Linked DNA regions of Schizosaccharomyces pombe. The protein of the gene in region 1 binds, or shares a complex with, the protein of each later gene. Each region holds a gene or a part of one and is shown on either strand. Other genes may lie near its edges. A codon is read from its position in the direction of its gene.

Region 1 (6,132 bases):
TCTACAAACGTTAAGAACAAAGAAGAATTACTCAGTACCTTGACTTATTTCATCAACTATGAAATAGAGATGGGACAGACTTATCCAATCGACATTAAAATGACTCGCAATGAAGCGGAAGACTTTTTTTTTAAATTTTGTACTGTAATCTGTGTTCCTGTTGAGAGTGAGACATCACCTGCTCCAGATTTGGCTACGGCTTCAATTGACTGGAAAACGAGCTTACTCGGTGCCTTCTACATTAAGCCTAACTATCCCGGTCGATGCTCTCATATTTGTAATGGTGGATTTTTGGTTTCACCTAGTCACCGGAGCAAAGGCATTGGGCGTAATTTGGCCAATGCCTATTTGTACTTTGCTCCTCGAATTGGTTTCAAATCAAGCGTGTTTAATCTCGTTTTCGCTACCAACATAAAGAGCATTCGACTATGGGAAAGACTAAATTTCACACGAGCCGGTATTATCAAAGATGCTGGTAGACTTAAGGGTCATGAGGGATACGTCGACGCTTACATATACCAATACCATTTCCCTTCACTTGAAGATGCCTTAAAATAAACTTCCTTTACTTTTTCACAAATTTGCAATTCTCTCCTTTCAATTTTGGATGCCACACTTTCGATAGCAGTTTGTTTTAAGAGGCAAAGGTTCAATATTTGCTGCCTGCGAAGCTTCTTACTGTACAACAAAATGTTCAATAAATGATATGATATTAAAAAACCTTATAAACTCAGAAATAATTTAACAAGTCCCGTATATTAAGTTGTTTGGTATATATTTCGTTTGACTTAGTAAGTTTACCATGCGTCAAAATTTCCAAATCCTGTGCGTGCTTTTTTCTTTTTGGGATTTACAGTAGAAGTGAATGTCTTTTCTTCAAGTGATACTTCCTTTTTTAGATATTTTCCAACAGACGCATTTAGAGAATGATCCGTAGAAGACGCCGATAAATCCCTCCCAGTCCAAGAAGTGCGGTCTAAATTATTTTCCTCTTCTTCTTCTTGTCTTTTTCGTTTCTCCTTCTCCCGCTCATCTTTTTTCCACTCTTCGAATGGGTCTACAAATATTATGATGTCTTCAAGCTTGATTGGTAACTTGGGGTGATCATTACTGTTGGTAGGGACTTTTTCAAGAGCATCCAAAACATTTAAACCACCGACAACTCGACCAAATATTGTATGTTTATTGTCCAAATGTTTCGCTGGTCCATACAATATAAAGCTATAAATCAGGTTAGCACTTGCATTTCTTTGAAGCTTTTAAAAAATAGAGAAGAAAACACTTACAATTGACTTCCATTGGTATTTTTTCCACGATTGGCCATAGATATAATTCCACGATCGTCATGCTTTAAAGGGTTACAAAACTCGTCCTTAAACGGCTTGCCCCAAATACTTTGACCACCTCTTCCAGTTCCACTAGGATCACCTCCTTGAATCATAAATCTAGCAATATTGCGATGAAAAATTGTATTACGATAATAGCCCTGCTTGGCAAGCTGGACAAAATTGTAAACAGCATGGGGTGCATAGTCTGTATGCAACTCAATATTAATTTCTCCGTGATTAGTAACAATACGCGCGTATCCTTTGTGCTTGATCCGCGTATGGTTAAGCATATAATCTTCTTCAGCAATAATTGCTCTTTCATTCTTCGTTACAGGAGTAAATGATGTGGAGGTTAAGGAAGCTGCAGCATAACCAGTTGTATGGGATGCGCGATGAATTGGCATATCAGAAGCTATAGATTTAGATGAATCGAGAGAATGCGATAACTCAGGTGATGAAGTTGACTCCGTTGACTTGGCGCGAGATGCTTGTAAAGCAATTTTGGCCTTGGTTATTTTTTCATCTCTTGCGGTTTCCTTTTGTTTTTGAATGGCCGAAAAATCTCGGTTCTCAACGTTATGAGGATCCTGGATGGTAATTATGTCGTCTCTGGTAAATTGCTCTTCGTTCACGAGATCCCTCCAATGTTTTGGTTTTATGTTCAAACGTTCAATAGTATCCCAAGAAAAACAATTCCCTGTAGAACGGATAGCCACGATGTGTGAAAAGCGCGTAAAGCTTTTCATCGTAACTGGATCACAATACTCTTCAGCACTGTTTTTTGCAAACTTGAGCTTTATTAAATCTGACATTGATGCCTTTTGTCCATTAATAGGATTAGTACCATGTTTTCGAAGCCAAGGAACAATAAATCTAACACATGTTAGCGCTCATCACCACTTTTTTATGAAGAATGAAAGATTTCCAAAAGCAACTAGATTAGTTGGTAAACAAATATCATTTAATACCAAAAAATTTGCTTCGAAACTCACATCTAATAGTGATTTACATACCTAAAATCGAAAATAATGGCTTGCTTGGTTTCATCCACAAGACAACAAGGATGGTTAAAGGGCTGCAAGGAAAGAGAGCAATAATTAAAAGGAAGTTGTTTGTAACTTGTGGTACTGTTCTTTTGGGCTATGCCACTCATACCACCATGCCACCCATGCACACCCGAATGCTCAGTTTGTGTAATGTACAGTTTGTCTGTATTTTTGCCCATTCCTGTTAATAAATATCATAAATACGTTTGTACGGTTATAAAAAATAAAAATAAAAGTTCTTAATTTTATGATATTTTAAGGCGATAAAGTAATTAATTTCTAGTAATATATATGCGAACTACAAGTATACGTTGTCGAATAGCGTTGGTGTAGTAAGGGTAAGGTCACTAAGCGCACGTTGGGTGTTATAGCTAAACTCATCTACGCTTCTACCAAAACAAACCAATTTAATAGAAATATTGATTTTCTGATGGGGTTCTCAGCAGAACAAGCAAAAAAGGATGGGAAGGATCAAAGCCCTGTTAGTGAAAGCTCTAGTGTGGGAGGAACATCTCCAGCTACAGCTTCTTCTGTCGTTTCTCCCAATGAGCCAAAACTTTCAGGGAAGGAGGCAAAAGCGTTGAAAAAGGCCAGAAAACAAGCAAGTAGAAGAGCAAAAGCCGAAGCAGCTGCCGCGAATAATCCACCCGGTGTTTCAGAAGAAAAAAAGGTAGCTATCCCTAATAAAAATAGTAACCAACAAAAGAAGGCATCGAAACAAAACCCGCAGAATAGTCCAGAAACTGATGCTAATTTGCAAGAAAAAAAGATTTTTGAGGAAAAGCAAGTTTCTATCTTTTCGCACCTCGATTGGAGACGTCGTAGAACCACTGAAAATATTCCGAAAGATATCCATCCTGCTGTTATTCGTTTGGGTTTAAAACTTGCAAATTATAAGATTTTTGGATCGAATCAGCGCTGTATTGATTTGTTGAAAACTTTTAAAATCGTCATCCAAGATTATCAAACACCCTACGGTACGACGTTGAGCAGGCATCTGACCACGCATATAAATTCTCAAATTGCTTATTTAGTATCAACTCGTCCGTTGAGTATCAGTATGGGGAACGCCATTCGCTTTTTAAAACTCGAAATTTCTGTTTTAGACATTGACCTTACCGACGACGAGGGAAAAGAATTGCTTCTGGAAAAAATTGACAGTTATATTCGCGATCGTATTATCATTGCAGGACAAGTCATCGTACAAGCAGCAACCGAAAAAATACAAGACGGAGATGTCATTTTAACGTACTTGCACTCTTCGACAGTAAACGATGTTCTCATTCATGCTAAGAATGTTGGTAAAAAATTCCGGGTTGTCGTGGTAGACTCTCGTCCAGAATTTGAAGGCCGGGTTTGTTTGAAGCTGTTGACCGAGCATGGGATTGAATGTACCTATGTCATGATTTCAGCGCTTTCCTATATCATGCAAGAAGTGACCAAAATTTTCCTTGGAGGCCATGCTATGCTTTCGAATGGTGCTCTATATTCTCGTGCCGGTACCTCTTTAATTTCCCTTTTGGGACACGAGTCTAATGTTCCAGTAATAGCGTGTTGCGAGTCTTATAAATTTACTGAGCGCATTCAATTGGATTCGTTGGTATACAATGAACTTGCACCTGGCGATCAACTTGTAAACATGGGTGTGGATGACTTTGAAGAAAAACCTGGTGTACTCGCAAATTGGAAAAGTGTTAAGAACTTAAAATTACTCAGTCTAAAATACGATGTTACTCCACCTCGTCTAATTACTGTATGTGTTTGTGAAATGGGGCTTTTACCTTCAACCTCGGTACCGGCTATCATAAACGAGTTCAAACAGGTTTATGCTTAATTTCTCTAATTTCCTTTTGTTTTTTTGTTTCGTCCACCTCAGAGGTAATTTATGAGCATATCCATGTTTGCTTCCTTGAAGTACCTTTCATTTTCCCTTTGTTATTTCTCATTCCTTTCTCAATGCTTGGAAGATTTGGTTTGTGTGAAAATAAAAAATTCATTATATTTAAATTTACAAAAGTTCATTGTTTACTCTTTTCTTAAAGGAACCTAAACTGTTCTAATTTTTCCATGTAGATTATATATTGGCATTTAAATTGTCTCAACATGATTTTTGACATATTGGTATATCCAAGGGGAGCTATTGGCATGGTTAAGAGTAATGATGTTCTTTTGTTGTATTAATGGTTAATATTTGTAGATGAAATGAAATGAGCAGGGATCGTACAATGTCATTTCATCACTTCATTTCCGGCTATAGTATGCTGATGCTTCGGATATATCGGAGAAAACTTGCAATCTCTTTTTTTTTAAGACACAAAATAGAAAGCTGTTACTCGATATTCAATTTTTTTTTTTTTAAATTATAGAACTGATGTTCGAAGCTGAAATAAAATTTTGCATCACAAGCTTTACGCTTGATGTCAGCTTATGATCTAAAACCTGTAATAATTTAAGAGCGATTCTAGTAATAAACACCAGAATTAAATATTATTTTTTTAAGAAAAGGGAAATTTTGTTCCTCATCGAAGAAAATTCATCTTCAGTATGTTTTGACCTTAGGTTTTTTTCCTACAGTGATATTACTGTATTGCAAACAAATAATAATATATATCTTTATAATATACACTAATAATTTTGCCATATCCTCCTTGGATTCCCCCGAAAAGTAACAAAAACAATGTGATGCGAAATCATCATCTCAACCACTTATCGATTTTAGAAATTCGGTTTACTGTAAAAGAGTCCTATTCTAGCCTCAGGAAACCAAGTGAATTCAAGTACTTTACCTATGGGCAATGAATAGGTTCACCGTTAGGAGCAAGTTTATAAAGTTCTCATTCCAGCTATTTAGAAATTACAGCGTTTGTCTAAATTCATCGAAATCTCTCATTCGTGTTGAAGGAGTTGATGCAGTCAAGTTTCTTCAGGGCTTAACGACCAACAAAATAACTTTAGATAATCCTGTATACACGGGCTTCTTAAATACACAGGTAAGGAGCTTGCGGTGTTGGGTTTAATGATGCGCGATGTATTCTAACTTACTAGGGGCGAGTATTATTTGATTCCTTTATATATCCAAAAGTCTCCAATAATGGCACGGAAAATGAACGATCTGATGAATTGTACGTTGAAATTGACAAGGTTGCAGAATCCGATTTTTTAAAACACCTGAAGAAATACAACCTGCGATCCCGGTGTAGTATAGCAAAGATACCATCTGAAGAATTATCTATCAAAGTAATTTGGGACGTAAAGGAAGAAAGTAGGTTAAAAGATACTGTCGCTTACGCAAAAGATCCTCGCTTTTCCAAACAGCGTTTGCTACGAATGATAGTTCCTACTTCTACATGCACTTCTTCTTCCTCCGGCTCGCTAGATGATTACAAAGTCTTTAGATACCGAAATGGAATACCAGAAGGGCCTCAAGAGATTATTCCTAGTATTTCATTTCCTCTGGAAAGCAACATGGATTGGATGAAGGGGATCGATTTCCACAAGGGCTGCTATTTGGGTCAAGAGCTCACTGTCCGCACCTACTATACTGGGGTAACAAGAAAAAGGATTTTCCCATTTATTATTCCGAACTACGAAGACAATCCATCTCAAGTTATTGAACCTTCGGCGCCGCTTTCAATTGTCGCAAAGCAAGGAGAGCCGGTCTCTCGTCGATCGCCTGGTAAAATTATTGCAATTTTAGGAAAAGTCGGGCTTGCTTTGGTCCGTCTACAATATCTCAAAAGCGACTTGGCATGTAATGG
Region 2 (6,550 bases), 590 kb from region 1:
AGAAGCACCCGAGATATTTCTGATTGCAGTTATCCTTCGACGTCAGATGATCGATCGGCTTACTCCCAATACAAACTGATGAAGCTGAAGAGGAAAAAAAGAAGTCGATGTTTTGATATATCATCCTTTAAAAAGCATATTGAAATGTCGCTTGCTAAGAAAAAAGCAAGTTCGTCTACTGTTACTTTGAAGGCTACAAAAGAGCTAGAGGATTATGAATACCTAGAATATGAAAAACATAAAGAGAAGAGAAGAGAATCTTTGGACTGTTTGCTCCAGGAATTCTCTAAAGCGGCAAAGATATTGAACGAAGATAATTAGCAAACTAAGTACATTACAACTCAGGAGCATAATAACTCATTGTTTTTGTAATATTCTCATTTATAGAATAGTATGTGAAAAATACAATAATGTTCATGATAAGTTAAAGACGGCAATTAGATTACTGGCTCAACGCCAGCTTTTGCATTGGACTCATTTGTTGTAATGAGTTCTTAATATTTATACAAACATAAGTACATACTTGTTCTTAAAAGTTCTAAAAGATTTTATTTAAGATATAAATAAAAGTTCAATAGCATAGTATGATAGCAAGTAATGGAACACTATGTATTTATTCTATATTTGATTATTAATATAGAGTAAAAGTCAGGTTCATAGTGTTTCTATTGACTCGTCAACTATAATTATTTTTTGTTGTTACTGAATGATAGAATTTGAACGAATGTTTTAATTGCTAATACCAAGGCTGCTGCTCCACCTTAACAATCACACATTACGCCAAAAAAATTATTTACTCGATTTCTCAAAAAAAACAATAAAAAAGGATCAATAAGAATACCTTTATTAAGAAAAACTTCTTCTTTGGAAAATTAAAGAATACACTTACTGTTGTTTATTTCAGTGTTTGTTATTGTATTCACAATTATTTATTTGTTTACTTATTACATAAGGCTAGTGGATCACCTTAATCTTTCTAACTACACACACCATAAGAGTACAAAATTTTAGCAAGTATTTTGTATCAATTGAAATGTTTAACTTTACAAGACAGTATAGTGTTAAAGACGGCTTAATAACAGATGAATTGGCCAGTCACATCGTTGAGAACTTGCCAGCAAGATATGCTTCTGCTGAAACTTGGAAACGAATCTATTCGTTGCAACATGACGGCGCATCTCTTCAAACAATGTACTTAGCCTGCGAAAAGGAAAAAGCTCGAAGCGGCCATCCTAAAGGGGCTTGCATTTTAGCTGTGCGCGATACAGACGGCGATGTTTTTGGAGTTTTTATCCCTGATTATTTAATTCCTGCACCTCATTACTTTGGTTCCGAGGAAACCTTCTTGTGGAAATATTTTCCTCCCAAAAAGTATGTACATTACCCTTTCGTAGGAAATTCCAATTTTGTTGCATATTGCACCAAAAGCTTTTTGGCATTTGGTGGGGGTAATGGAAGATACAGCCTTTGGCTTGATGGCTCTCTAGAGTACGCTTACTCTAGTCGTACTCCTGCATTCGAAAACAATCCTTTGAGCTATCGTGGCTGTCCTGACCAACGAATCCAAATCGTGGACATCGAGCTCTGGGTATTGGAGTAATATCAACTAACGAATGAAAAGAAAAAAGAAAATAAAAGATGGACTCGGAAATGTGCATCAGCCCAAGTTTTATATTTATATCAAGATTAATATTTTACCGTGCTTTCTTTATGACTAATTTATTCAACCAAAGACAATTTTATGCTGACTCTATGCATTGATTATTATTCTTAATTCAAGTTAACTCGTTGATTTGCATGTTCAATCAATGAATATCGAGTTTACCAGAAATTCGAGCCGTAGGACTCTTCCCTCCCATTTGTGATGTATAGCTTTCTATCATCAGCTAATTTTTAATACTTCTTCTCAATTCCGGAAGATTACGTTTGTTAATTGATCAAGCATGAATATCCTTGCTATTAATTTCTTTACGCCTTATGCATTGAGTGAACGAATCAAATGAAGAGCATCCCCAATATCTTCTCCCCAATTGTCTATTATTTATTAATTTTCTCTTTTTCTATTCATAACTTTTAATGCTACACTTAGTATATTTATTCACGTGGTTGCTTTTCATCAACAATTCGTATCGTCCCTAATTGACGAATCGATTTCTACCATCCACTTTATATCAGTAATAATAATTATTATGAAGTTTTATTTATTATGTTTCTTTTTGATTACCGTGTAAACACTTGAAACCTGTATTCAAATCTCGATAAACTACCATAAGATTAGTAAAATGTTTGCAACCACTACCCAATTGTAGAAAACAAATTGACAAAATTTACCAACTTAACAGGATAAATCACCGTTTATATCTTCTGTTTATTATGTGGAATTTTTGTGGTTACTTAAATAAAACCACTTTCTTTCGCCAATAAACTATAAAAGAAATGAGCTATGCAAATTTAATATCCTAAATTTAATTACTCTTTGATTATTAACGTCTTTATAAATTCCTTTTTAGTCTCTAGTTGATGAATTGTTTAGAATAATCTTTAAGTTATAAGGCAGTGGAGCACGGCATCCTTAAATGACTGTTTGGGCTTAAATGATATTGAGAAATATGTCTAATCCCTCTACATTGTCGAAATGCCTCCATCCAAAGGGCTGAATGGCAAGCTAGAAAAGCCAAAACACGCTCTGCAAGGTAATGTTTTTGGGATTCAAAAAGTGTTTGTTACTAATTTTTAGCGATTGTTTTGTCGGATTCTTATAATTATCGGTTTCGCCCTCTTACATTAGATAAACCTCGCGTATGCAATTACCAGTGTACACTTTAAGTACTAATATTATTAGTGTCTTCTTCCTTTAGCAAATACCCCTTTAATAGAGTACACTTTTGAGTTTTTGGCATTGGCCGGGGTGCAAGAAGTTTATGTATTTTGCTGTGCCCATGCAGGACAAATTCGAGAATATATAGAGTATGTGCTAAATTGAGGTCTTAAATTCGAATTTCTGATACGATATAACTAACACAATATAACCCACAGAAAGTCAAAGTGGAATCTTCCCTCTTCCCCCTTTAGTGTAAACACGATTGTGTCAAGAGAATCTCTGTCGGTTGGTGATGCTTTAAGAGAGCTCGATTCAAAACAGCTAATTACCTCCGATTTCATACTCGTATCAGGCGATGTGGTATCCAATGTGCCTCTAAACGAAGTTTTGAAAGAACATCGGAAGCGCCGTGAAGATGATAAAAATGCTATTATGACAATGGTTGTACGAGAAGCAAGTCCATTTCATCGTACACGCGCCCGTACAGAGAGTTCTGTTTTCGTGATAGATAAAAAGACCAGCCAATGCGTGCATTATCAAGCTAACGAAAGGGGAAAACATTATGTTTCTATGGATCCCGAAATCTTTAATGAGCATGAAGAGTTGGAGGTTCGAAATGATTTGATTGACTGTCAAATTGACATTTGCTCCAATGATGTACCTGCCCTTTTTACTGAAAACTTTGATTACCAAGACATTCGAAAAGACTTCGTATATGGTGTTTTAACCTCTGATCTTTTAGGAAAAAAGATTCATTGCCATGTTGCTAAAGAAAATTATGCAGCTCGTGTTCGTAGTCTTCAAACTTATGATGCTATTAGCAAAGATGTTCTTTCTCGATGGGTCTATCCTTTTGTTCCCGATAGCAATCTTCTTAACCAAACTTTTAGTTATCAAAGACATCAGATTTATAAGGAAGAAGACGTTGTTCTTGCTCGTTCTTGCATTATTAAGGCACGAACTTTGATCGGTGCCTATACCAAAGTCGGTGATGCGTCTGTGGTTGCGAATACTATCATTGGTAGGAATTGTACCATAGGCAGCAATTGTAGTATAGACAGTGCTTTCCTTTGGGAAGATGTTGTCATTGGAGATAATTGTCGAATTGGCAAAGCCATTCTTGCCAATTCTGTAAAAATTGGAAATAATTGTTCAATTGAAGATGGTGCTATAGTAGCTGCAGGCGTTGTTATTGGGGATAATACAATAATTGAAAAAAATAAGCGTCTTACAACTTTCGAGAGTCACTCTCAAGGAACTTTGAACGATCCATCTTTGGTAGGGATTGGTGGACGTGGTCAAGAATATCATGCCGAAGAGGATTCTGATGATGAGGGAGAGTTTATGGAGGCTTCAGGGCTTATTGAAAGTACAAATGAGTTACATTTATCTGATTCAGAATCTTCAGAGACAAGTTCGTCTTCTGAAGAAGATATGGAATTTATTCCCTTTTCAGCTAGACGCGATTCTGCCAATACAATTAACTCAGAGGATTTCGATGAAGGAGATTTCAACAAGGAAGCTCAGCAGAGTCTTGAACGTGCCTTTGAAGAAAACCACCAAATTGATATTGCTGCTCTTGAACTCAATACCCTCCGAATGGCCATGAATGCCAACTATCACGAGGTGCGATCCGCAATTGTTCTTGCTCTTTTAAGGCGTATCATGCACTTAGATGTATCCCCCAAGGAGGCACTAGCAAAAGTAATGACACGTTGGGGTCCATTGCTTGCAAAACTGACATTTAGCCATGAAGAGCAAGTTGACAACGTATTAACGCTGCAGAAGTACTGTGTCCGTTTGAGTATGACTCGGCACTTTTTACAACTTTTGGGATATTTCTACCAATTAGAAATTGCTGAAGAGAATGCCATTCAAGAATGGTATTCTGATCCCCGCTCTAGCGAAGGAGAATTGGCTGCGCTTCGTGATGCCGGTGGCAAACAATTTGTCGACTGGTTGAATACTGCTGAAAGTGAAAGCGAGAGTGAAGAAGGGTCAGAATAATAGTTCCCTTACAAATCCTGAACTCTGACTTAAAACAGTGTTATGAAAGTGGTTTCTGTCTACTCAAAAAAAAAGGGTCACTCATAATTTAGCTGGCTATTATTTTCTAGCAAATAATAATACGATAGAGAAGAAAAATAAAATTTTGGTCTACAGGGCGCGTTGTTAAAATCCAGCACTATTCTGTTAATTACACGCATAGTTATTTACGATAATATCAGTTGGACGAATTCAATATTTTTAGCTGAAATGTAAGAAATACAACAAGCGAATGAAGATAATATAATTTGAGCAAACCGAAGAAAATAGTGGCTAAAATACAATGCAAAAACTGAAAAGTTATATTGATTATGTCTCTTCTGTACATGTTTCTAGTTGTAGTTGATATGAAAGACAATTCCGACACTGTTTGGAATTTGTGGAATTTAAACAACTAGTCATGGGATATGAAAAGCCTTTCTTCGAAAAGAAAGCCTTAACTTGAACCCCAAAGAGAACATAGATACATAGACCAAAGATTAAACCTTTAACTAAATCAAACAGAAGTGATAGATAGTTTTTTATATAAAACAAAAGTAAAAGAGACCTGATAGTAAAAATAAGAAATATATAACATTAAGACTTTTCCATCAATGTGGATGCTGTAAGTCTGCTTGAATGGGATCCTGTAACATCTGTTGAGGATACATAGGAGCATCATTCTCTAAGTAAAATGTCACAGGAGCCTTATCGTCTTTAGCTTCTTTCGTGGAGGGAACATCAGACATATTAATTGAGTTATCCGCTTGTAAAAGATTCAAAAGTTGCTTTTTTAAAAGTTGAAGTAGAGTCAACTTTGTAAATGGCTTAACTAATAGATCTGTTACACCATGATTAAAGTAGGTAACTGCATCATTCATCGATATATTTGAAGTTATAGCCAAAATCGGTGTGTTATGATCGTATTGACGAATTAAACAGGTTACAGACAGTCCATCCAAATTAGGAAGTATAAAGTCCATTAAGATGAGATCGAATCCACCAGCATTAGCTTTATTTACGGCACCAATTCCATCGACAGCTACATCGACCTGGCAATCAAATGAAGTTAAAAATTTGATAGTCATTCTACGAGAAAGTTCATCATCTTCGACAAGTAAAATCCTTGGTTGCCGCTTCCACAAGCCAGTAGTTGGAACAGCAGCGCCCATTTGAGACATGGACGTTGCTACTGAACTAGCTTTGGCAAGGGAATCGTTTGAAATTTGAGAAAATGACTTTGCCATGGAAGCATTGGAGTCAAGATGGGTGGTAAAGCTTCCTGGATTTGGATGCTGAATCGGTTGAAATTTTTCGTACATCGGATATGAGCCATGGGCGTGTGGATTCAAAGAATGGTCATTAGATGATAAAGGGGTATTTAGAGAGGCGGCAGAGGCCATGGAGTCTGCCGGCTTTTCCTGATTTGCCAGTTCATAATCAGATGAAGGAGTATTATACAAAGAAGGTTGTGCTGTGCCAAGATTGGTGTCAACAGTCATCTTTGAAGAAGCGGTAGTAGCAGCGGAAGCCTGTTGAATTTGATTTGGTATCTGTTGTGGAGAAGTAGTTGCAACTTGGCCCTTCGCTAACGCTTGGTATGCATTTAATAACTCCTGGAGAGGATGAGAGGGAACAAACATGGCTCCGGGATTAGCTTGCCGTTGAGTAGATCCCTCTAAATCGCAGAGGTAAGATATGATG

Evidence for each region.
Region 2: the proteins of tif224 (region 1) and tif225 are in contact, whole or in part, in a crystal structure (PDB 5B04), measured with the Schizosaccharomyces pombe proteins. Residues at the interface, in NP_594503.1 of Schizosaccharomyces pombe: Arg295 (codon at 3,687), Tyr331 (codon at 3,795), Ile332 (codon at 3,798), Gln334 (codon at 3,804), Glu335 (codon at 3,807), Glu410 (codon at 4,032), Lys412 (codon at 4,038); in NP_594285.1 of Schizosaccharomyces pombe: Lys267 (codon at 3,590), Glu268 (codon at 3,593), Tyr308 (codon at 3,713), Arg310 (codon at 3,719), His311 (codon at 3,722).

Annotation. Positions count from the first base shown.
Region 1 is NC_003424.3:4,254,932-4,261,063, forward strand, and holds tif224 (translation initiation factor eIF2B delta subunit tif224), read left to right. Parts: upstream 1-2,768; 5' UTR 2,769-2,804; coding exon 2,805-4,208; 3' UTR 4,209-4,852; downstream 4,853-6,132. Other genes in the region: L-azetidine-2-carboxylic acid acetyltransferase Aca1, read left to right, coding at 1-558; cyclophilin family peptidyl-prolyl cis-trans isomerase Cyp8, read right to left, coding at 798-1,221, 1,287-2,201, 2,342-2,553; iba57 (iron-sulfur cluster biogenesis IBA57-like protein), read left to right, coding at 5,170-5,364, 5,420-6,132. UniProt on the Schizosaccharomyces pombe protein: Acts as a component of the translation initiation factor 2B (eIF2B) complex, which catalyzes the exchange of GDP for GTP on the eukaryotic initiation factor 2 (eIF2) complex gamma subunit.
Region 2 is NC_003424.3:3,667,583-3,674,132, reverse strand, and holds tif225 (translation initiation factor eIF2B epsilon subunit tif225), read left to right. Parts: upstream 1-2,626; 5' UTR 2,627-2,635; coding exon 2,636-2,693; exon of another isoform or gene 2,694-2,737; coding exon 2,738-2,799; exon of another isoform or gene 2,800-2,842; coding exon 2,843-2,967; exon of another isoform or gene 2,968-3,036; coding exon 3,037-4,828; 3' UTR 4,829-5,003; downstream 5,004-6,550. Other genes in the region: V-type ATPase inhibitor and disassembly protein in response to oxidative stress Oxr1, read left to right, coding at 1,034-1,600; stress-responsive DNA-binding transcription factor Prr1, read right to left, coding at 5,458-6,550. UniProt on the Schizosaccharomyces pombe protein: Acts as a component of the translation initiation factor 2B (eIF2B) complex, which catalyzes the exchange of GDP for GTP on the eukaryotic initiation factor 2 (eIF2) complex gamma subunit.